3 linked regions of the Caenorhabditis elegans genome follow. The protein of the gene in region 3 interacts with the protein of the main gene of each other region in a pairwise test. Each region holds a gene or a part of one and is shown on either strand. Other genes may lie near its edges.

Evidence for each region. Proteins that work in one complex are often made in the same cells at the same time.
Region 1: the proteins of sem-4 (region 3) and ceh-31 interact in a two-hybrid assay, tested with the Caenorhabditis elegans proteins (one large-scale study listed by BioGRID).
Region 2: the proteins of sem-4 (region 3) and scrm-2 interact in a two-hybrid assay, tested with the Caenorhabditis elegans proteins (one large-scale study listed by BioGRID).

Annotation. Positions count from the first base shown.
Region 1 is NC_003284.9:3,065,933-3,073,570, reverse strand, and holds ceh-31 (Homeobox protein ceh-31), read left to right. Parts: upstream 1-3,148; 5' UTR 3,149-3,263; coding exon 3,264-3,429; intron 3,430-3,686; coding exon 3,687-3,957; intron 3,958-4,014; exon of another isoform or gene 4,015-4,297; intron 4,298-4,351; coding exon 4,352-4,697; 3' UTR 4,698-4,923; downstream 4,924-7,638.
Region 2 is NC_003279.8:13,232,059-13,239,378, forward strand, and holds scrm-2 (Phospholipid scramblase), read left to right. Parts: upstream 1-3,289; 5' UTR 3,290-3,308; coding exon 3,309-3,671; intron 3,672-3,835; coding exon 3,836-4,078; intron 4,079-4,121; coding exon 4,122-4,224; intron 4,225-4,268; coding exon 4,269-4,327; intron 4,328-4,382; coding exon 4,383-4,412; 3' UTR 4,413-4,605; downstream 4,606-7,320. Other genes in the region: ZK1053.2 (uncharacterized protein), read left to right, coding at 194-361, 410-505, 553-895, 943-1,018, 1,069-1,532, 2,089-2,342, 2,393-2,602; ZK1053.6 (SLC41A/MgtE integral membrane domain-containing protein), read left to right, coding at 6,482-6,706, 7,154-7,320.
Region 3 is NC_003279.8:7,035,250-7,043,765, reverse strand, and holds the start of sem-4 (Spalt-like protein sem-4), read right to left. Parts: upstream 4,867-8,516; 5' UTR 4,859-4,866; coding exon 4,783-4,858; intron 3,126-4,782; exon of another isoform or gene 3,055-3,125; intron 82-3,054; coding exon 1-81. UniProt on the Caenorhabditis elegans protein: Transcription factor, involved in positive and negative modulation of transcription. Binds to multiple DNA sequence motifs in the regulatory elements of target genes, including homeobox selector egl-5 and LIM homeobox mec-3.

The DNA of each region.
Region 1 (7,638 bases), on a different chromosome or scaffold from region 3:
GGCGGGAATTCAAATTTTCTAGGAAAAAAAATTTTTGCGGGAAATTCAGATTTTCTGAGAAAAAAGATTTTGGCGGGAAATTCAAATTTTCTGAGGAAAACATTTGGCGGGAAATCCAAATTTTTGTTCTGGAATCAAATTTTTTGTTTCAGCACCTTCTGGAAGTTTCAAGAAAATTCTAGACTGTTCTAGAATCATCTGGAAAATTCAAAAAAGTTCTGAAATGCTCTACAACCTCCTATAACTGTAGGAGTTTTTATTTGTTTCGTTACATCTATATTCAAAGAACTTAGTAGTTAATTATTCAGACTTCTCCAGTTAAGGAAAGTTATTAACTTATTAAAAAAACTGTAACTCTGTGGAATTTTTTCGAAAGCCTGATAATGATAATGTGTTAGTAGAAAAATCAGAACATTCTAACTGTCTCTTTGAATTTTCTGAATCGTATACCATGGAAGGAGAAAATGCGATTTAATCGATGAAGTTTCAACTTTTTTTAATGAGGCATTTTTGAATGATTAAAAGGACATCTATTTGTTATACATTTTAAACTCCGCCAGTCGTTGGCCGCGCCGGAGGCGCGGTTATCGGCTGGTTATTGATAAAATTTCCAATTTTCAGAGTGACAGTTAAAAATATTCAGATGTAATATGTTGGGAGATTTTTTTGAAAATTGTGTTTCATTGCCAAAAACATGTACTTCTGTAAAAATCAGAGTTTACTCATTTTTTTAACAGCTGTCGAGTTGCCGAAGATTTGAAATATTGAAAAAATTTTGAAAAATCTTATTAAAAGATGACCATTAAACAGTAGTTGAAAACAGAAATATTTTTGAAATTGAAACGGGCACCTGAAATCATGATCAGGCTACTCATATTCAACCTTTCTAAACGTTGTTTTCTGTGGATTTATTATATCACTGAAATAATGCCGAACTGAAAATTTCCTGTTAACAGAGCAAGTATAACTCCATTCAAAACGATTTAATTTCTTGTTAAAGAAAATGTTCTTATTAGGCGCTGCACAAGATTAGAGACCACCCGAAGGAATTATAAAACTGCAGGTGTGACATCGAAATTGGCAGTTTGAAAAGCAGTCGTTTGTCACGTCTGTCGAATATCCGGGCGAGGCGACAAATTCCTCCCGGTATATGGGTTGTCCTTGTATTTTGGTGAGCGGGCGGCAAACAAGCGCAGACTCCTACCAATTTCGCGCACTTCAATTTAAAAGTCTTCCGACATGAAGTCAAAATTCAGGAACATGTTCAATTGATGATTTTACTACTGGAACTCACTCTTATCTTGAGTTGTTGTTACAATACATTTTTTTAGAATTGAAAAAAAGCTCTGTAGTTTACATTTTTGATAATTTTTTTTGACCCATTAGTCATTCCAACACAAAAATGAAAACCCGTAGTGTATTCGATTAGTAAATTTTCCAGATGACTGTGTTCGGTACCCTTAATAACAGTTCACCATATAGCGGTTCCTCTTTTCCTCATAAAACCCCGGTAATGGGCCTACAGCTGTCCGTCAAAGAGAATGCAGATATTATTGTTGCTCATCGACCGTTTGTGACCGGAAATATTGCTTATTAGTTAGTGGGAAAGAGGGAAAACGATGGGACAGCATAAAATTAGATTTGTACGTTTAAGTTAACGTTTTACGGAGGTGGCCGCCAAACATAAACAGCCGGAAAACTAGAGAGGTAATACGGCAGGAAATTAAGTATTAGTAAGTTGTTAGACGTTGATAACAAACAATAGATTCGCGTTGTTCATGAATCGGTTGTGAAAAATATAACGATTGTTGACATTGTTCACTTTGCAAATATATTTTTCAGAATGATAACGATGTTTCAACATGATATTTTATTGAAAACTTTTTGAACAAATTTTCAAGCAAACATAAAGGGTCTGAAAATTTTTTACAACTATAAATATTAGTTTATAATTTTTAAAATATTTCAATATGTAAAACAAAGTTTTTTTGCTCATAATAGTCTATAAAAGAGGAACCCAGACTATTGCAAACTCGGCTACCGAAAAATACAAATTTAAACTCTAATTAAGTATAAATGCTCAAGAAATTAAAAGCTCGGAAAACGTTTACATTTTTTTAGTTCCTATAAAGCTCAAAATAAATAAAAAATTTACTTACTTAGCATTTTATTATAATTTTTAGTGTTTTGAGAATCTGATTTTTGCGGATCTGGGATTAAAAAAATTAGGTACCAGTTTAGTACACCTGGTCCAAAAATATTAAACCCCTTTTTGCCGATAATAGGCTTAAGGTTAAAGTATTTCAAAGTCTAAAAATGCAAATCTATTTCATGGTTTGAATAAATTATTATGTTTCAAAAGAAATGCATGGAAAATGTACTGGAAAATGTTTTTGTGTTAGGTATACTACACAAGTACCAAAAGATGTTACCAGTTAATCTGAACTGTACGTGTGAAGCAAGTTTAAGATCACAGCCAGGAAAATCTAAATGCAAAATGAACTATCAAAAGTAGTCACTGTTACTGAACTTTTCAGATAGTGTTTTCCATTGTGCTGATTTCAAATCAGTGATGTATCAAATATTAAAACACACACAATGTACCTATTAGACCTCATCATCTTTTAGTCAGAAAGCTGAAACATCATTCGGGCTGAAACTCATTTTTAGCTTTAGTCGCTAGTTTTTGCACGCCGAAGCAGCATGCTATTTTTGATTTTTTCTGCGGTTTTACACTAGCATAGCTAGTTATATTGAATTCTATTCAGTGCTTTTTTATCTGAAAATCATTGCTCGTTTGGATCATGTTGCATTGCGTTGTTACTCTGCTTTTAGGAAAAGCCTAGTGTGCATAGTTTGCATTCGGCAGTTTCGGGATTTGTCTGAATTGTTTTCTTCTCACCTGAATGCCTCATTTCCGAAACTTTTGCTTTTCGTCTTTTCCTCGAAGCTGCTCGTTTTCAGCTTCATCGTCCCCCATTATCACACTTGATTGGCTTCAAAAAGGTGGATTGCACGGACCACACTTCTCAATACAAAACCGCGTGGTGTCATCCATTCTATTCCCTTCTTCGACACGCCCCGCCTTCCACTTCGCATGGGCGTGACTAGACCAATCAACGAGTTTGCGACGTTTAGTGACTGCAGGCAACAGGACCCTTCCAACCCACTCATTCACACTAAACTACTGTCTAAAAGTCATTCAATTTGACTATTACAAAACTTATTGTATTGTTACATCATCTGATAAGGTTATCATAACAATGTCAATGTTGGATCTCCGTCAGTTTCTGATTCCTGCATTCTTTCTAGACCCCACCAACCAACTTGCTGCTCAGAGTTCTTCCGGTGGCGCGAAGATAAACTTAAACAGCTCTTTTCGCATTTCTGATCTGCTTGATCCAACTTCACACTCAACCAACGAACCAGGTAATCCATTTTGCCACCATTTTCCTAAAGTTATTGCATTTATTGTATGTTCGTTCAACCATCTCTAACACTTTAATCTACATAGACTTCCATGAGAATGTTGAATGTACAACTAACCTGAAAAATGATATTTAACGGATTAACGCTCCAGTAGTCACATGGACGGTAATCTGTAATAGTAATAGGTCAACCAATTATGATCCTTTGTTCTCCTCTTACCTATACAAACAGTTTTCTTTATTTATTTGTTATTGTAGATCCATCTCCTACCTCCATTAATTCCTCGGAATCGCCATCATCCCCTAGAATTGGGAGCCCGAATACCGAAAGATCTGTGAACGAGAGTCCGACATGCGTGGGATCAAAAAAGGCTCGGAAGGCGAGAACTATCTTCACCGACAAACAACTTCAAGAGCTAGAAAACACCTTTGAGAAGCAGAAGTACTTGTCTGTTCAAGATAGGATGGAGCTGGCTCATCGAATGGGGCTAACAGATACTCAAGTAAAGACATGGTATCAAAATAGAAGGTTGGTCGGCTATATTCCTTAATTAGGCAAACTTTTTTTCTTTTCTCGAAAAACAACAACGTGTGGCTCTTTGCGCCAGCAGTTGGGCGAGAATTGAGTCTAAACACGCCACTTTGTGTTAATTGTAGTGCATTAGCGAGAAGCTTCACCCCCATCGAAATTTATCTTAATCAAAGCTCTCACCCCTCCTCAATTTCTTTGCGTGCGCCCACCAATTTTATTTAGTAGTGTCATCTTTTTTCCGCGCCCTCCCCCACTCCTTTCAACCACCCCACGGGAAACGGCTCCACTGTCATTATCCAATTTTTGAGATTGGAGCTGCTACCCTGGGAGGCGCAAAAAATTTGAGAAAAAAAGTGCTTGAAATGAAAAAAAATGTTCACGGTACTTTCAGAACCAAATGGAAACGACAAGCCTCTGTTGGTATGGATCTTCTTCACGATGCTGGAAATATGGCCGCCGTTCAACAACTTCTAAGAACAAATCCATATTGGGCAAACTACTTATCACAGAACACTTCAATGTTTGGAGCTTCTAATAATCGCCCTGTATTCAATTCATTAGTCGTCCCAACTTCTTCAATGATTCCTGCTAGCAACTCTCAAAATTCTCTACTGCAATTTCTAGCATCGCAAAACGTAAAAGATGATATCAGTTCCCCAAAAGAATCACCATCAGTATCTCCTGATTCTGTAAAAAATGCATCTGTTTCTAAAAAAGAATCAGATGAGGATGAATAATACCTTTCCACCTTGAAGATTGTTTTTTTTTCGCTTAGAGTATTTATCCGGTTTTCATCACGCAAAATGTCAAATTCTCAATTTCTATTGTTTTTCTCTTCTATTTTTCCTGCTGAGCCACTTTAATTTTGCCCTCATTCTCAAAATCCGATCTCTTAATTTCTTCTGTAATGTTTCACTTTCAATGTCTTGGTTATTATAAAATAATAAAATGCAATACAGTCAACGGACGCTGGAGTGTTTTCGCTCAAGTAACAGAACATTGCGAATCATTCCAAATGACAAAATTACGGTAGCGATTTCCTCACACCAAGTGCGTCAATTAGCCTTCTCATTAATAGACAATTTTGGGGGGAAGCAAAAAGTCGTCCCGCTTCCTCTCCACCTCAAACACTCTACGTTACTCGTCAAAGTGGAGGCCTTCCAACTTTCATAGCTGAGTAGATTTTCCGTAACACCTTTACAGTTGAAGATCGTCTGCCTAGGAGTCGAATAATTCGTCAATTATAGCGACACCTTTTTCGAACAATGATGCCACCCAATTTGAGAAAGGAGGTTAGAGACGCGTCCTGTACAGTTTGTCAAAACCTCAACCTTCTTTTCATTCGTCTTGTTCAATTGTTTAGCAAGATGACAATTGTCGAAGGAGACCGCAGCCGTGTATTATTGCAATTGAGTCGACTTGTTAACGAATTATTGTTCAATCATGTCATCGTTTCAGGGGTCGTTGCGAGAATGATTTATTGAACTGGTCTTCGTATTGGAATGTCAAACATTTCCTGTAAACTCATGTAACTCAACTTATTCACCATTTGACATGAACTCGTAAACTCATGTAATGTTATTGAATGGAAATTGGGAAGAATTCATCGGGGAAAAAGTTCATCTAAAAAAGAAATAAACTATAGAAATGGCAATAAAATCAGCTATTCATCTGAAACTACTCATCTCTGTCCTAATTAGTTTCCAATTTCCTCTCATAAATACCGCAACTTGTCCCGAGAACTTTACCCGGCGTCTTTCCACTATAACTTATTCCAAGCATACGGTGTCTTCCTAGGAAAAATCCGCTTTGAAATTAAAATGCGGTTTTGAAAGTGTGCATCACTTCTAGCCATTGTTCTTTTTCAGAGAATTTATATCTAGAAAAATTTGTGTGATAGTGACAGAATGATTGATTGAAATCACAGTAAAATTGCAGAGTTAGAAAAAAATGTGTGACTCCGCAAGAATTCAATTAAAAAAGCCAAAAAAAATTTTCAAAAATTAAAAAAAAAAAAAAATTTCAAAATTTTATCGCTGATCAATTTAGGATCCCACTACTTTACCTTGAAAGGTATTATCCTAGTTCCTTTGGAAATCATCAGATACGTAAAAAACATATTCTGCCAGTTGGTGAGCAGCCGAAACACAGAATCGTGATGCAAAATAGAAGAAATACGGTAAAATACTCGAAAATCTGAAAATCAAGAACTAGACAATTTTGTAATTTGTCCTATATGCAAGTGTGATCAACTGTTCAATGATCCCGATTAAAGGTGTCAAACTTTTGCCTTCCCCCATATCATACACATTTCTCCCAAATTAGCATCATCTTCATTTTTTATTCATCCGGGAGCTCATCGGACAAAGGAGACGACAGGTGTATACGTGTATTTGTCAGTGTGTGTGTGTGTGCTGAGTGTAAATTGAATCAATTGCCACCAGCCCCCTGAGCTAATTCCCTTGTAATCTTTTTATTGAGAGCAGCAGTCAATGATACATTAGGGGTGGTTGACGAGCCACATCATCAGATCACGGATCGGTGCGCAGAACATCATGATTGTCTCCGTTGTGGCATAAAATATGGGAAGAAGATCAAGTGATTGTAAAACAATCATTAGATTATCTTATTCTACCTAATCCAGAGGTTGTTAAAATAATACTAATTATGAGGTTATAATTTTTATGACCCCATCGACGGAACCAAATTCATCGGAATGGTTGCAAACTGTGTTTTTGGATGTGTTCATTCACAATTCACCCCACTACCGTTCACGGTGTGGTGTCCAATTGCTTTAATGACACCGTTCCTTCAAAATCCTATTTATTGGCGGTAGACGATTACCGTACTCGTCTCCTTTCTCCCCTGTCTATTCTCGAATTAGATGTCAAGTGGGTTTCAATGTGTATATGTGGGTGTGTGTGTGTGTGTGTGTGTGTGTGTGTGTATGTACACGACCAATTTGTCTAAAGACGAGAACGATGATCAGGATGAGGGCCTGGAGTTTCTCAAATGCGAGATTTCCACTAAATGAGCCTGGTTTTGTGGGCGACGAAAAGGGGAAACATAATAGAAGAGGAGCGTGTTACATGGAATTAGGCGTGTTAGTTGTTAGTTGTCACTGAACCGGAAGAATGCACACTTCTTGCGTGCTTACACAAACATACCACTAGCCTAACACACTACCAATTACCAATTATCTTAAGCTTACTAATGAACGACACTTGTGCTCTTCCGGGGACAAAATTGAAACAATGAACTGTAGAATGGAAGCTGCTATGATTTTTTATCCTTAAAAATTTATACCATTTCAGCAATATGAGTTAGAGAGAGCAATTATATATTGTTAAGTCAAATGTTATAAATTGAAAAATGTAGCATGATAGTAATTCTTGAAAATTTTCTAATTTGAAAGGCATCAAAATATGTACTATCGACTATTTTTTCTAGGTTCACTTTAAAATTTAAAAGTTCACAAACTTTAATTTTATTATCAAGTTAACAACAAATTTGTATATATTCGCGCCTGTAGCAAGCATTTTAACTGAGATCGTGGCGAGACCCACTCAGAAAAACAATTTGTGCCTTTACTATGAATGTCAAAATTTTGCTAAATTACTACATATCATTTTTGAAAAAAAATTTTGGAAAATTTTTATTGCGAGAAATGTTTATTGT
Region 2 (7,320 bases), 6.2 Mb from region 3:
TTTGAATAATGAAATACGTGAGCCGACCCCCCCCCCCCTTTTTTTTATCGATTTTTCCAAATTCCTCACCATTCCACGTGAGCATCAAAATTCTGATCATTGCTCGTTTTTCTATGCTCATCAAATCGCTCGATTTGGAGTAAACGATATCTTCGAAAGCGACGAGTTAAAGTGATTGAAGAAGAACAAGATGATGCATTTCAAACACGCACTTATCACTTGTCTTCTCGTTTTATCAACAACTACCATCATTTCTGCTCAAATACCCGAAAATCCAGTGTGCCAACCAACGAATCAGATTGGAAATGCAACCGGTGCACATTTTTTGTACTTTCTTGATAAGGCTATTGAACCGGATTTGGTGAGTAATACTCTTACTGGTTTTAGTGAGAAATCTAGTTTTTTTCAGCTCTCTCGTCTGACATATCTTCTCAAAGCAATTTCCTGCGAGATTCCAAGCAATGAGAAGATTAAGAACATGATCGTATCTTATTCTGGGGATAATGTAAGATTTATCAGTTTTTAACCTAATCAACCTGCTCAATATTCCAGCAATACTTTGGTGAAGCCGTGAAAAGTAGTCAGCTACCTTCCAGTTTGTATCTTCCGGTAAAGGAATCCTCGAAGCCATCCTCAAATCCTTGTGATAGCTTTCGCCAAGCGATTGCAAAAACGCCGTCGGAATATTTGAATCACGAAAATGTGCAGTTCATTGTGTCCGTTTTCGGTGACGCCACGTGTTTTTTGAAAGCTTTTCAAAGTCAGTTCAACGGGAATTCGCGGAAAAAGAGCTTCTTCTACAATGGAATTCTTGTTAATTCAAATCTAACCAATTCAAATAATCAATCGATCAGAATGGTGATTCCGGATTTGGTGAAAGCAATTAACACAAGCAGTTAGTAATTTGAAGCCATCTGCCTTTTAAAAAATGTCTTTTTTCAGGAGTCTCCCTTGTAGGTTCCGACAAAATCAACGAGGTCCATGAAAGTGCTCATTTGGTTCAGAGTTATGCGAGCATGTATGTCCTGATCCTGTTCACCTTTGAAAATTATAAAAATTTTTATTCAGGATTCGAGATATCCTTCTTGGCAATAGTGTTCACGACTGGGAAGAAATTCTGACAACTACACTTGCTCCGGTGACGTCAACCATGCCCCCAACAGCAAAAAGAGCAGCATCGATAGACGATGAGGGAGAAATGTTGACGTTCGATGGTAGTGCGGATGAGGAAGTGGTGATTCCTCCATCAAATGCTACTAATTCGACGTCTACAATTGCTCCGACAACTCATACAATCCTCTCGAGCACAACAGAAGTGAAGACTACTAGAAAGCAATTCAAAAAGATTGTTCCGATTCCCAAACCATCGAAGATCCCGTCTCGTTCTTCGACAGCTCGTCCCACAACAACCACTGAAGAATACGATGCGGATACGGAAGAAGACGCCGAAAAACTTGAAATGATGTCAGGGAAGAGGAAAGTGGATAATGGAACTACTGTATATGTTCCCAGTGATCCGGATGCCCAGGAAGGTTAGAATTTGGCACGAGGAGTAGGCGATCACGCCTCGTCGATCTAAGGCACACTGAGCAGATCAGACCTAATTGCGACCTGCTCGGCAAACTCCACCAGCTTTCACGTAGTGCGCGTTTGAAATTTGGTAATTTGAGATTAATTGATAAAGGCCTAGTGGGTTTGCGCCGCCTGCGACCAAAGAATGATTGGACAGACTAGGAATCCCAGCTGAGTGAGGCGCGAAATGCGGGCCTCACGCTGATACCGCTGTGTATTCGAATGTGTATTCAAAATATATTCAAATGCAAAAAGGCAGTTATTTGAAGCAGCCGACACTGTCGGGGTTCACTATACATTCGGATACATGCGGCTTGAGTGACGCCGTGAGGCCGGCGCGGTGACCGCTGAGGCCAGCGGATGCGCCGTTGCGGCGACTTCATGGAAGCCCTAGCACATACCTATCTAAAATACTGCGCCAGAAAGCTGACAACATTCTGGAGAAAGTATCTACACTAACTATAAGTTAACTCGTCAGCACTGTTGCCAGCTATACCGTTACCAATTTTCTTACAGGAATCGATGCGAACATCCTTATCTACATCCTACTCCTTGTCCTTCTCATTTGGTGCTTCTGTATTGCCCTGTGTCTTATTTGGATGTACGTGTGTGCCAAGCAACGAAAACACAAGATGATCAGTAAAGCTGAAGAGGAACGTGAAGCTATGTTGGCACTTTTGGAGAAAGGACACGAGACGGAGCACAGTTCTCGTAGAGCTAAACCATCGGTTTCTGTGGAAAGTGATGAGTTTGATAAGGAGTGGAAAAATGTGAGTTACAAAAACAGTTATTGATTTTTTTTCCAATTTTTAAATTGCAGATCAAACCATCCAAGTACACCCCCGCTTCTGTTTCCACTAACGAAACTAAATCCGAATTGGAGAGTGTGAAGCAACCGGTTGCAGCTACCCATGTCGCTCCTGTAGAAGTTTCAGAGTTCGAGGAGAGGCTCGATGATGATGTGGATCATAAGCCAAGACATGGAGGATATGTTAAGACGAAGAGAACTGCTGACTTACATTTTGACTGAAAATGAATAAAGTTTATGAGGGAATTAAATGGAATGTTAGTTGATGACTCAGGAATAAATTTTCGATAATTCCCAAGAGAAATGTGGTGACCCCTGGTAGCTTCTAGGTAATTGCAAATGAATTCTCGTATGAAAATGTTATAAATTGAAAAAATTCTCTCAATTTTTAGTACACGAGTACCCTGAACCTTGTGCTGTTTTCAAAGTATGTGTGTCTAGCTTCCCTCTTCGTCTATGCGCCTCTCACTTTCCGAACACATTCGCTGGTCCCACTTTCTGAACCCGCTTTTTCTCTGTTTCATGTTTTTTGAGCATCAATAAAAACAACGAATGTTTCCTACTTTTGACCAGTTTTCCGGTTTCAACTGTTCAGCAATTTTTTTCGATCTAAAGCAATAGTTTTTACTGTAATTTCTGTAGTGTTTGAAGAAAACCCCACGGATTTATGAGTTATAAAATATCAATATGCGTTTTTAAGTGTTTATTTCGACGAAATTTTTTTTACCTCTATTTTTATCAGTTTTAGAGCTCGATGAGCCGAGTAAAATTATTGAGTAGTCAGTAAACTCTTTTATCTATTTTTTCTATTTTTGAGCACCAATTTTGTAACAAAATGAAATTTAAGAATTCGGACCAATCTTTGCTTAGTTAAGCGCAATTTCAAACAATCAGCAACCCGTTTTTTATAAGTTTCAGATTCGAAATAATGGATCAACTATTTTATAATGGACCACCTGATTACGTTGAAATTGAAGACCGAGCCATAACAACTGAACCAGGAGCTTCTATACAAGCAGCTCCCGGAGCAATTTGGATGGAAGCACTTCCAGCGATTGAGGGAATCCCAGCAGGGTTGGAATACCTTGCCTACTTGGACACGGTCATGGTGCATCAAGTGAAGGAGGTTCTTGAGATTCTTACTGGATGGGAGAGTAAAAATAAGTATGCTATTAGAAATAAAAATGGACAGCAGTGTTACTATGCGTTCGAAGAATCCAACGCTTGGGAGAGACAGTGTTGTGGATCGCAACGAGGTTTTACGATGCACATTGTGGATAATTTTAACAAGGTGAGTTATGGCCTAGAGATGCAGATTTCTAAGCCATGAAGCTTGAGTTCTTATCACTTTTTAACTCCTGATTATTTCATGGGATGTGTAATAATAGGAAAACATTCCTAAAGTTTCTTGAAAATTCTTTTAAATTAAGTTTTTAAAACATTTGTTTTGTTAAGAATGTGCTCATCGTCAAACGAGAATTAAGATGCTGCGCAGACTCATTTTGTGGATGCTTGCTAGGTCTTCAAAACATATGCACCATTGAATCACTATCAACTGGCCTTCTGGGTACTGTCCTTCAAGGATATGGTTGCACGAATTCATTCTATAACATTTTGGATAAAGATGGAAATCTGATTTTCCTAGTTGATGGTCAAGGATGTTGCACAAGTTGCTGCTGTGAAGATAAGGATTTTACGGTGACAAGACTTTGCCGAATTTAAAATACTCCATACTTTTCAGATCAAAACTCCCGACAGCTCCGTGCCAATTGGCTCAATAACCAAGAAGTGGGGTGGACTATTGCGTGAAGCGTTTACCGATGCCGACACTTTTGCAGTCACCTGTGAGTTAGTCTTGAAAGTGAAAGAATAGTTGAAAGAATTTCAGTTCCCATCGACCTTGATGTCAAGCTCAAAGCGATACTGCTGGGAGCCACATTTTTGATTGTGAGTTTTTGTGCTTCTTATCCAAAATTTAATTTAACTATTACTCTATTTTCAGGATTTCGTGGAGTTCGAAAATAATAACTGATGTGGAAAAACTGGAAATCTCGCAATGCACTTCTCGCTTGTTTTCTGCGATCAGAGCTCTAATTATGAAATGATAATGTGCTTTCTTTGTATGCATGTATATTAAAATAAGACATTTTGCAAACGCGCCGTTTGCATCGCTTTGCTTCTTTTCTTCAACATCTTCAAAATGAAATAAAATAATTATAATTATATCGCACTTCCAATAAGCGTAAAGCAAGAACGATTGAATATATAACGGAGAAAACTCCGATATTAAAAATCTAGAAATCTTTTGATTAAAAATCTTTCGGTAAACTGATAAATACAAATTTGGCCTACTTTTCACCTGTATCGTTACCACCGACATGCTCTACTGCCATGCACATCTCTTCAATTCCGTGATTTACGAGACGAGAGGCAATAAAGATCACAGTTACGTTTTTTAAAGATTACAACTTTTTCAACTTCTTAGATTTTCACGAATACTTCCTTGTTGCATGTCTACGAAGCAAGCCTGCTGCCGAACCCAATTCTTTCAAAACGAACTATATTCATTTTTCAACCCTTTTTGATAAGTTTATCTTTTGTTAAAATATAAGAAAATGTCTTCGGAAGATCCTATTTATTCACAAAACGAATCACTGTTGTTAGGCAGTTCTAACAAGTAAGTTTCTTTTTTTGCACTGCTAGTGAGCCCAAGATTTTCCAAATAAAAGATTAATTTTGGCCATTTTATATTCAAAAAATTTATTAAAGGAAGTAAAACGTTTATCGTTCAGTTTTTCACAAAAAAATATATACATAAAAATTTGCGAAAACTCTGAATATTTTTTAAGATCCCAAGCAAGTAATTCTTCTAAGACAATCGCTAAAAGAGCTACAGTATTCATTGGAATCTTGTTCATAACAACGCCAATTGTTTTTGGCTTGTCCGAAGTTGTTGGTAAGAATAATGAGGAAAGTGAGAAAAGCGATATATGTTAAATAATTAAGAAATGGATGTTTCAGGTTCTCCTAAAAATCAAACATCTGAAACCACTACAGCAGAAAATAATACAACTCGTGAGTGTTATATGTATTTTTCAGAAAATGATATGATAGTTGTCGTATTTTTTCGTGTGCGGCAAATTTGTTGAATTTGGAAATTTTGCCGTTTGCCGTGCAACGGCAAATTTCAAATTCTATTCATAAAGTCTATTCATAAAGTATTCATATAGCCCAAATAAACTGTATACTAAAGTATTTCCAGTTTCAGTTGTCCATCGTACATCCTTCAAAACACAGGAGAAGATGGTCCAATTGATTCCGAAATCAGGACAAGACTACATAAAATTCACTTATGACATAATCAAGGACACCTATTCTTATGATAACGTCGATGGAACCCCAGTTAGGCCAATTGTTGCTTCTAATATAGAGCGAGTCAGACAGAGAACATAACGAAGCATACTTACATCGCAAGAATTATCTCGAATATGCACAAGTAAGTTTTCAATTATATCAACAAAGTTTATTAATGAGTTTTAGATGCGTTGGTCGTTCAATGTGAAGAATGATGGAAAGAGAGTTGAAAAAATAATGTTTCAAAATTACCGGAACAGAACCACTTGATACTTTTGCCGTTGAAGCATTTCCTGAAGCTTGTTATTCAACAGGCCACAACGTCTGATAAACAGATTTATAAAAATTTCTAATATTACTTTTCAGATAAGTTGCACCTATTATCCGTTGAACGGATATGTTGAATCGGAAAAAGAAATTGAAAGTTTGAATATGAACGTAAGTATTTTCAATTCATGTCAAAATTTAGTTCAAAATCTATTCCAGTTTTTTACTTCACAAAGATGTTAACATTTTAGAAACCGATATAAAGGATGAGGGTAGTGTTGAAACGTTTTCAATTGAAGCTTACTGGAAACACAACTAAAAATCATTTAATAAAATAGTTTATATATTTATTTTTATTTTCAACTAAACAAACGTGAACTCTTATCCCCCTCCGTACAGAAAAAATTCCACCACAAAAATTCCACCACAAAATTCCACCACTTTCCGTGGATTTCATAATTTTGAATTTATTTCTTAACAATGGCGGAAGCGCCGCGGAGTTCTCCCGTTTCACCGGAGGAACAATCAACCCAGGAATCGTCGCCCAATGACAGCTATGTTCCAAGGTCGACATTAAGGTCTTCTGATGAAGAGCCGAAGAGTATTCTGGAGCTCTATACTCCAAAAATACTGACATCTATGGAGACGGTTGCAGACGAGGAAGCGGAGAATGTGCCGGAGACGATGTGCGAGATTTTTAGTCAGGTTGGTGTGCAGAAATGTGCCCTCAAAGCTGCGAGATTCTGTGAAATCAAACTTTAAAGGGAGAGTTTACATTACGTAGCTATGCAGGCGGGCGACGGTATATCTAAAGTTTTGTAGAACTTTCCTGAAACTTCCAGGGAATTACAGAGGTTTCTCGAACTTGACAGAATGCTCTAGCTGTTTATAAGTTTATAGCAAATTCTAGAAGTTTCACAAGCTGATTATAAACTTCCCGAACTTCTCAAAGTTTCTCGATAGACCCCAAAGTTGTTTGAAAAATCAATTTTTGAATTCTCGCCCAATGGGTCTCGAAGAAAAAAGTAGAGGCTTCATCCGAAACATTGTGCCACCCGGGTTACTGTATATGTACTATCGTAGCTAACATTCTAAGTTAGTGCCGTAGACAATGACTATTTGAAAAATAGTTGTATCATTATATTTTCCCAGAGTCTCGTCCCATTCTTCCTCGGTGGCTGTGGATCTATCTCGGCTGGCCTCTTGCTCACCTACGCCAACAAAACCATGACACTAGTGAAGGAAGTTCCCGAGTTCCTCGTCCTAATGCCACCACTTCAAGGTCTACGTGGTAACCTGGATATGACTTTCTCTTCAAG
Region 3 (8,516 bases):
CTCCACCAGCTCCCTTCTCACAGTTATTTTCATCAAAACTCTTTGTCGATAAATCAATTGGAGACATCATCGCATCACCTTCTGTAAATATGTATTGTTATTTTTTAACTTTTTTGTAATTTCTGTTGTTGCAAGTTAAAGATTTAATGGACCCAACTCTCTCTAAGCTCCGCCCACTCTCTCTTCATTTATCTTTAATTTAATGTGTACCAAATCGGTGTCAATGGCGCGGAAAAAACGCAAAAATTATGCACGTCTTCTCCGCCGTCGGCGATCCGATTCATCTCTCTTCACAAGAAACAGAAGGGGTCGTAAAAATCGCAACAAACCGACGCAAACACATACATACACAGTTTGACATCGGTTGCTCGTTAACTTTTTGTCACACAAAAAGTCATCGTCGTCGCGTCAGATCGAAGGAAGCTGTATGGATGAAATAGCGTGTGAATTGAAAGAGATTCTTAACCATTAATGTGTGCGGAGACCCCGTGGAGGGACGGAAGAGGAGGAGGCTTTATGGGTTCGGAACCTGTCTCACCCCTCTCATTGAAATCTTTTTTCGCAACATTTATAATTTCCGAAACGCTTTTTTGTTGTTGAAAATAGAAATCGATTTGATGATCCGGAAGGGTATATTACCGTATTCGAAACGGAGACTTAATGGAACAGATGAACGGAGAGAGAGGAGGAGGCATCCGATTGGATGATGGGTGGAGACTTATGAGAGGGGATATATTATGATTGATTGGTTTGGAAGAAAAATGAATATGTGGAGATATTGGGAAGAGCAACATGATAAGTTCATAAAGTTTTACCAACTAAAATAGAATGGAGTGTAAAAGATTTTTACAGGCTAAATCTAGGTATCATTGTGTTCAAGGGAGACGTTTCAAGAATGTTTTTGAAATGTATACTTGTAGTCGAAAGTTTGAGTCGCTCCGTGTTCACCTATCCTAATTTTTGAAACAAAGTTTGCCTTCGAACAAACTTTATATTTCAGGTTTCTTTTTATTAATCTTGCAAAATTTTGAAAATTCTGAATTATTTTAGTTTTTTTTCATTTCGAGTATATTTCTGCTCAGCTGTCTATTGCCATTTGGACATATGAGCAAACGGCTGAAATGTTGAGCCCTATTATTTCCAACTTCCGAATTTTCAGAATTGAACGTTGGTCAATTTCAGTTTTTTGCACCTCACAGTCCCCCTAACTTCTAGGCAAAAAATAAATCTTACTCCTCCTGTTCCACATTCTTCAGTTATCAATAAAACAGAGAGTATCGTCCCTAAATAGAAAGTCATCTATATACCAATTTAATAGTAAAATAAAACTTCTCCAAAAAGCAACAACCTTCCTTCCAAATGTCATAAAAAATTGTAAAAACGGTAAATGATCAAAAGAAGAAGAAGGCGTCGGAAACACATAAAACTTCATCCCCTTCTCCCAACAACGACGTCTTCGGGTCGCAACAAAACATTAAGAGTTTCAAATTGAACAAAAAAATTGAAAAATAATTGCGAGAATTAGCCAAAATTAGAGAAAAGGAATGAAAATGAGGGGGTGAAAAGGTTAAGTACGCTCTAATAAACATTACGAAAAAGGCAGCAAAAAACGAAGAAGGAGGTGGGTTTAACGGAAAAATTAAGACGATGTCAACGATTGATTATTGACAAAAAGGGCATGATTTGATTAACTTTTCCGCATATTACAACTAATTCGAGTCGATTGGGACACGATGTGTCTACAGAGGAAAGATGGAGGATACTGTAAATATGATAACGGCCGATTGAGAAAGGGGACTATGATTGTACAATTAGAGACATAATTTGAAGTTTTCAAACGAACAAATTAAAACATCGAAGCAAAACGACAACTTCAAGTATTTAGATCAAAAGATCCAAAGTAAATCCTGTTTCTTCAAAAAACACTGGAAGCAACAAATTTTGAACTTTCTAGATATCTTCAATTGTTTTAATATAATTTTGGGTAACCACACAAAATGTCGCTGTACATTAACTGTATAAAGTAAATTTCAATTTGAAAATTTTTAAAGTGAATGATTCATTTCTTTGAGAACTGGAAGACTGCTCAAAATTGGATATTTTTAGGCTTTAATTTTTTTAAATTAAAATTTCCAAAAATATTCCAAAATGTTTGCATACCCCTAGAGACCTTTACAATTATAATTTTTTCCGAATTCAATTTAAGAGCAAAATTACGGTCCTCCAAAGTAGTAGTAAATAGACTCGAAAAATCTGCTCTCAAAAAAATTTCAGCTGAAAGTTAAAACAAAAAATCTCGTCAAACTGCTCGGAAAATCAACGATATTTCTTAACCAACTTTAGCGTTTTTCTAGGTGCCATTTACGGAAGTGGCCGAAGTTGGCGAAATTTGGCTGAGAATTTGGTGACGAGTTGCCTTTTGCAGCTGAAATCTTTCAATTATCAGATAGTACTGGATTCAAAGGAACTACCCAAACTTTCGTTCGAGGCGAGAATTACATGACGCTATCTATTTTCAGTTTTGAACTGTTTGATTGTGCAAATATCGTAATTGAGCCCCTTAAAATAAAGTACTCTGGTAACTGCAACTCATGAGCAAAAACTCAAAAACTCTTCATTTTTATCATCTTATCTGTGTGCGAGTCAGTTGGTTTGATATCATCCATTCAATAATAGTCTCATTCATTCTCTTCTCACGCGCTCATAAAGAGTCCTCCAATGTTAATGAGTGTTATCCAAACGCTCCTCCTCCCCAAATATCTTTTTTTTCAACTCATCTACCTCTGCTACCATCAAAAATCCATAAAATATATGAGATGATGATACTCTGCTGGTCCTCAAATACACACTCTCACACACACATTGTGACACACACACATAATGTTTCAATTTTCGTCTCCATCGTCCAACCAATTCATATTGCTTGTTGAAGGAGGAAGCTCTGATATTGCACACTATTTCTCTCGTATTACACAAAAACACTATAATAAATGATCGAGTTTCGAGGGGAGAAGACCCACAGAAGAAGAATTCTGATTCGCAACAACAACGTCTTCATCCTGCCACTCTAAACTTCTTTTGTGTTCGATCATAAATTCGATTTTATGATGGCTCGACTCGACTCGTGTCGAAGGCGGCGGCTCGCGGACCTCGAACACAATAATGTTGCCACTTGAAGCACAAAAAAGAGAGAATCAATAAGGCTTTCAATAGAAAAAAATAATAATGGGCTCAGCCAATGGAAGAATCAGCAGAGAGATGAGATGACAATAAGTCTCAAGTCTCACACACAAGAGCACTTGTTCGTCACAAAAAATGATTTGTGAAGATGAAGCCGAGAGCTGATGGTGGTGGTTTAGAGACAACTGATACCGGAAATTATGATACAAATGATACACTTCTTTTCTCAAAGATGAATATAAAATTTTTTTGAGCATACGTGCCTGCAAGGCAACCTCGGCCTAATAGTAAGCCTATATATCTTTAAATAAAAAAAGGTTAATCTTAAATTTCAACATGTTTATAGAAAATATACGACTGTAAAATTTGTATGCACATACACAGGCAGAAAGTACCAAGAAATATTCTGCATACAAAGTCATGCTCTAAGAGACTGGGTCTTCACATTCATCGAATTGTCAACAGCTGTTGAAATGTTTGACAGTACTGAATGGAAAATTAAACTTTTATTGTCACAGGTGAAATATTTGTGAAACTCGTTTTGGTTAACATTATCTACTAAAAACTTTCAAAACAAATTTCAGTCTTGCTCTTTGAGCTGGACACCAAGTTCAAATTGTCAAATTGTCATCCCCTTTTCAACATGCTCTCATCCTTTCTCTCTCATGTCTGTCTGTCTCAGAACTTGCCAAATTGATTGGTTTTCTTTTTCTCCGAAACTCTTTCTCCCTTCCCCTTGCACTCCCATATTTGGACATTTTCTCTCTCTCTCTCTCGTTTCTCTGCTTTCTTGCTCTTTTTTCTCTCTCACTTTCTCCTCATAGTCGCTTATGATTGGATGGAAATGTGACGGAGGGGCGGAGCAATATGAAAAGATGAATGGAAATATAATAAGTGTCTCTGGTCTTCGGGAGGAGCTCTTTGGACTACGGTAGGTTTTGATTGGTTATGATTGAAAGAATCGAAGGAAAAGCATTGAAAAAACACTAAAAATGAGGTAAGAAGATACGAAAGAGATAGAGATAAGAGATATGTTATCATATTTGACAAGGTTCTGTGTTGGAAACATTTTAATGAAAAAGTGTTCCTTGAAGTGGAACAGATGTGACAGATTTCTCATTAAAACTTAAAAAAATGAATGAACGAGAAATATATGATAAATTATATTTAAATGAAAATGCCAAACTAGGATGGTTTTGGTAATATTAATTTTTTTTTAATACTGGTTTTCTAGCAAATGTCTCGTCCGAAACTATTCGAAGTAATATGAATAATATTGATAAGTTGATAAGAGGAATTGACATTAAAATTGTAAATTTACACCAATTTATTGTCTCCTTCCAATTTTCATTACTTATGTCCCAAAAACCCATAAAAACTAGTGATAACTGGTTTTTCTAGAAAGTCTAAAAACCTTCAAAAATGTAGAACTAAAATGATTTTGAAACATTCCAAAAGTGCGTTTTAAGTTTTAATATTCAACTTTGTTATTTTCGCAGAAAATTTCAAGATTTCAAGGTCGATCATCATCGCCTTGTTTCATTTTCTTGTCTTTTACTTCATTAAACACCCCGCATTTTCCTCTCATTTCCCTCAACTTACCACCAGACATTCGACGTGGTTTTGACTGTTTTCTGCGGGATGAAACCGCGGCCATCTCGGCGAGCAGCTCATTCATCTGGAGCTCTGAAAAGTTGAAATTACTAGAAGATGAGCATGATAGGCAAAGAATGAAAGAGTAATAGTGGACAAGAAGAGGGAAAAAAGCAGAGAAAAGGATACAAAACAACACACACAGAGAAAAGAGACAGAACAAAAACGATTTATATTAGAAAGATGAGAAGGCGACGGGACAAGGGGGCACATATTGCGAAAACAAGGCTATTATCAAAATTTATATTATTAGAGTAAAATGGTAAAAGTATTGAAGACACGAGATGGCAGTAAGGGAATGGGAATGGAATTCAATTGACGATAAAAAATTGAACTTTAAAATAGAGTCATTAATCATAAATGATATTGCTCGAATGAGCTAGTTATCGAGCGGCGAGCCTATAGTCTAAATTTGCCCATAATGCATTTTTGGAATGAACATTTTTGAATTATGCACCGGCTCGCCATTTGTCTTTGCAAAAGTTACGAAATACTTGGTTATATGACTGGGTTTAGGCCGCACCCAGATTCAGCCCAAAATTGATCTAACTCTTTTCAGCGTCTCAGCCAAGTTTAAAACGATACAATACAAGTTTCACAACAGCTAGATAAAACGTGAGTTTAATTTGGGTACATCATAAACCAGGACTTTCTCAAGTTTGCCCCGAGCTTTGTCAGTTTTTGAAAGAGTAATTTTTGGATCAACCATAGGCAATCAGTTCGCGCCAAATGACGAGTATAGCCGCAGAAGAATCTTGAATCGGATGATTTTTTTCGAGTGTAAATATGAAATTTTGTTGTTCATGGTTGGGTAAAGAAAGAATATCTCAAAAAATGATCAGGGGAAGGTAGTGAGTGATGATGTGAGTAAGTGAGGGTGTAGAAGATGAAAATCGTATAAAATGAGTGAGTGAGCGGTTCCCCTTTTCCATGAGGTGGATACGGTGTTGCAATTGAAATAGTTGGAAAAAAAGGATGGAAAAAAGATCGGATCGGTATGAATATAAAGTGCGAGATGCGGTTGAAGATTCCGTTAAATTTGGTGGGGTCTGAGTTCTGTTTGTGTGTGTTCTACAGGCTTTTCGGATTATGAGTCATCAGATCTTGTAGACTAGAATTATTTTAGGTTGAGTTGTAAAGTTTGATTTCTAAATTTAGATAGGAAATGAGGATCGGACGTTTTCAGATACAAGCCTTAGTGCAAAGCTAACCCAGAAATTTGTTATAGATACATATATCGCTATAAAGTGACAGTGTCCCTTTCTCGCAAATTGTGGCGTCACAATTAGTTTCTAGTACAAATCATTTTTAAAAATCATGCTCGACGCCAGACTACAGAAAAAATGGTTGCTCCGTCTTGCAGATGTTAAGCTTCTGTAAGTGAGCTCTGAAAGGTGTTAGCTGAGATATTAAAAATAACATGGCAGGTTGAAATTGTTTTATGTGAAAATGGAACTACATTATTGAAAGTTCTCAAGAAAGTCTCAACCTCAGAACTTGACTAAAAAAGCAGAAATTTCTAAAAATGGCAAATCAATGAATGAATAACTGAATTACTTGCATGATTTGTTGAATGATTGATAAAACACTAATTGAATTAATGAACACAGTCAACCCCAGAAAAAGTCTTTTTTTTTCTCTCTTCATCAGAAGACGTCGTCGATGATTCGAGACGAATTTGATGATAATTGTCACCCCCGTGGTGGTGGTGGTGAGGGGAGACATATTCGATTCGATTCGCGCCAGGTACTCATTCTTGTACCTGACGCTCCGGGCGCCTGTGTGAGGGACGAGATATGATCTGGTAAAATATGAGTTGTTGCAAAAGAGAGAGAGAAGGCGACCGCCACGGGAGACCGACACGTCTTCTCCCTCATACATGACTCCGCCCATTTTGTTCTTTTTCTTTTTCACTCCGTTTCAGAACTGATAGAGATGCAAGTAGTTTGGGCCCCCGGCAGTTCCGAGACCCAAAAGCCCCGCCCACTTTTAAATTGCCCATTTGAGATAGTGAGAACGAGAAGTGAGAGGGTGCAGAGAGGCAGAGATAAATGAATTACTACTGTGTGGGGCTCTCGATGATGATGAGGAGAAGCCTCCCCGGGCCTCAACCATGGGGCGGCTGTTTGTGTTGCAATTTTATGATTTAGCTAGATTGTGATGGAAGAGGAGCAATGAAAAAGAAAATGTTAGAATAGAGAGAATACAAGTAATCTACTCAAATTGGGAAGTTGATGATAAAACTAGGTTTCCGTGAAGTTAGACAAATAGAAAGGAATCTTTGGGGCCAAACAAATTTACCTTCTGCAAACATCGTACTTCTTTAAGTCATATTAATATTTCACCCCCAACAATTTGTATAAAACCAAAGAATCGTGATATGAGCAAGAAAAACAAATACGGTCTATTAAAAATTAGCAACAAACTTATTTTTTAGAACTTCCTAGAAGTTTCACGGTAAGTTGCGATTGCTGGGCAGGCAAGTAGGTAGGCATTTTTGTGTTAAATTTCATCAGATTCCAATTTCGAAATGTTTTTATTTTGAAAAAATTACTTCAATTAAAAAGAGATGAAATACTTTTAATTTTTTTAACATCTTTGAATTCTAGAACTTGTATGAGATTAATTTTTGATTATGCCTTCCAGAATCAGATGCACAAAATCTAGATATTCCAGTTATAAATGGAGTACTTTTAAATTTATGAGTTATCTAGGGTTACTGTAGAAAGGTGTCTAGGTTACTGTGTGAAAGAAGGATGGTACAAGTTGAATAACTTGATCGAGTCCCAATCCATGTATGACATACACGAGGCACGAGCAAAAAAACGTATGTCGCGGGGTGTCGTCGGTTAGTAAAAAAGAACAAATATAAGAATTTGAGGAGTAGGATTGCGGAACAAGGAGAAGCTTCCTCTCTGGTCTCTATAGAGAGACGGTAGAGAATTAAAGACAACGGTATGTACAGGAGCAAGACGAGACGAGTAATCATCCATTTTCTTCGGGTTTTTCTATTTCTTAGTTGCTCCTCCTTTTCCTCTCATAAATCATCACAATATTGACATTTCGTTTTTTTTTTCTCTTCGCCTTTATTCGACCGCCCGTTTGCTTTTTGCTTTTCGTTTTGCGTAAAGTTGTGTTTTACGGTAACGAACATGATGACAGGATCGAATTGCTTCTTCTTCTTCATCATCAATGTATGCTTTTTTAGTTCCATTCCATTTTCTCCCGACAAAGTGCTTTTGCTCAAGAAAAGTTGGGTAATGGTCAGAGAGCTAAAGGGTAACTGGATTAGGGATCAACAGATGGTTTGGTTCGCAAATAAACGGCGCTTGAGCCTCTCCACCTACAATGACGTGGCATATTCGATTAGATTTTTTGAAAAATTGAGAAACAGTATGACACTATTAATTGTTCTGTGACAGCAATCAAAATGAATTTTAAATTTGACATTTGGAGACAATTATTTTGACAAGAAGCTTCCCTAACTCATTTTCTTTTGAGATAGAAAAAAGATGTCATGTTTCAATTTGTCATCAAATACCTTTTTATCTAGTTTTCCAATAAACCAAGGAATGTAGAAATAAAAAACTTCAATTAGTCATAATGATTTCGAATTTTTGTGATACGGTGAAATGTTGATTTGATGAAATTCAAAGATTTATTGAAAGGCCTAAGTCTACGCC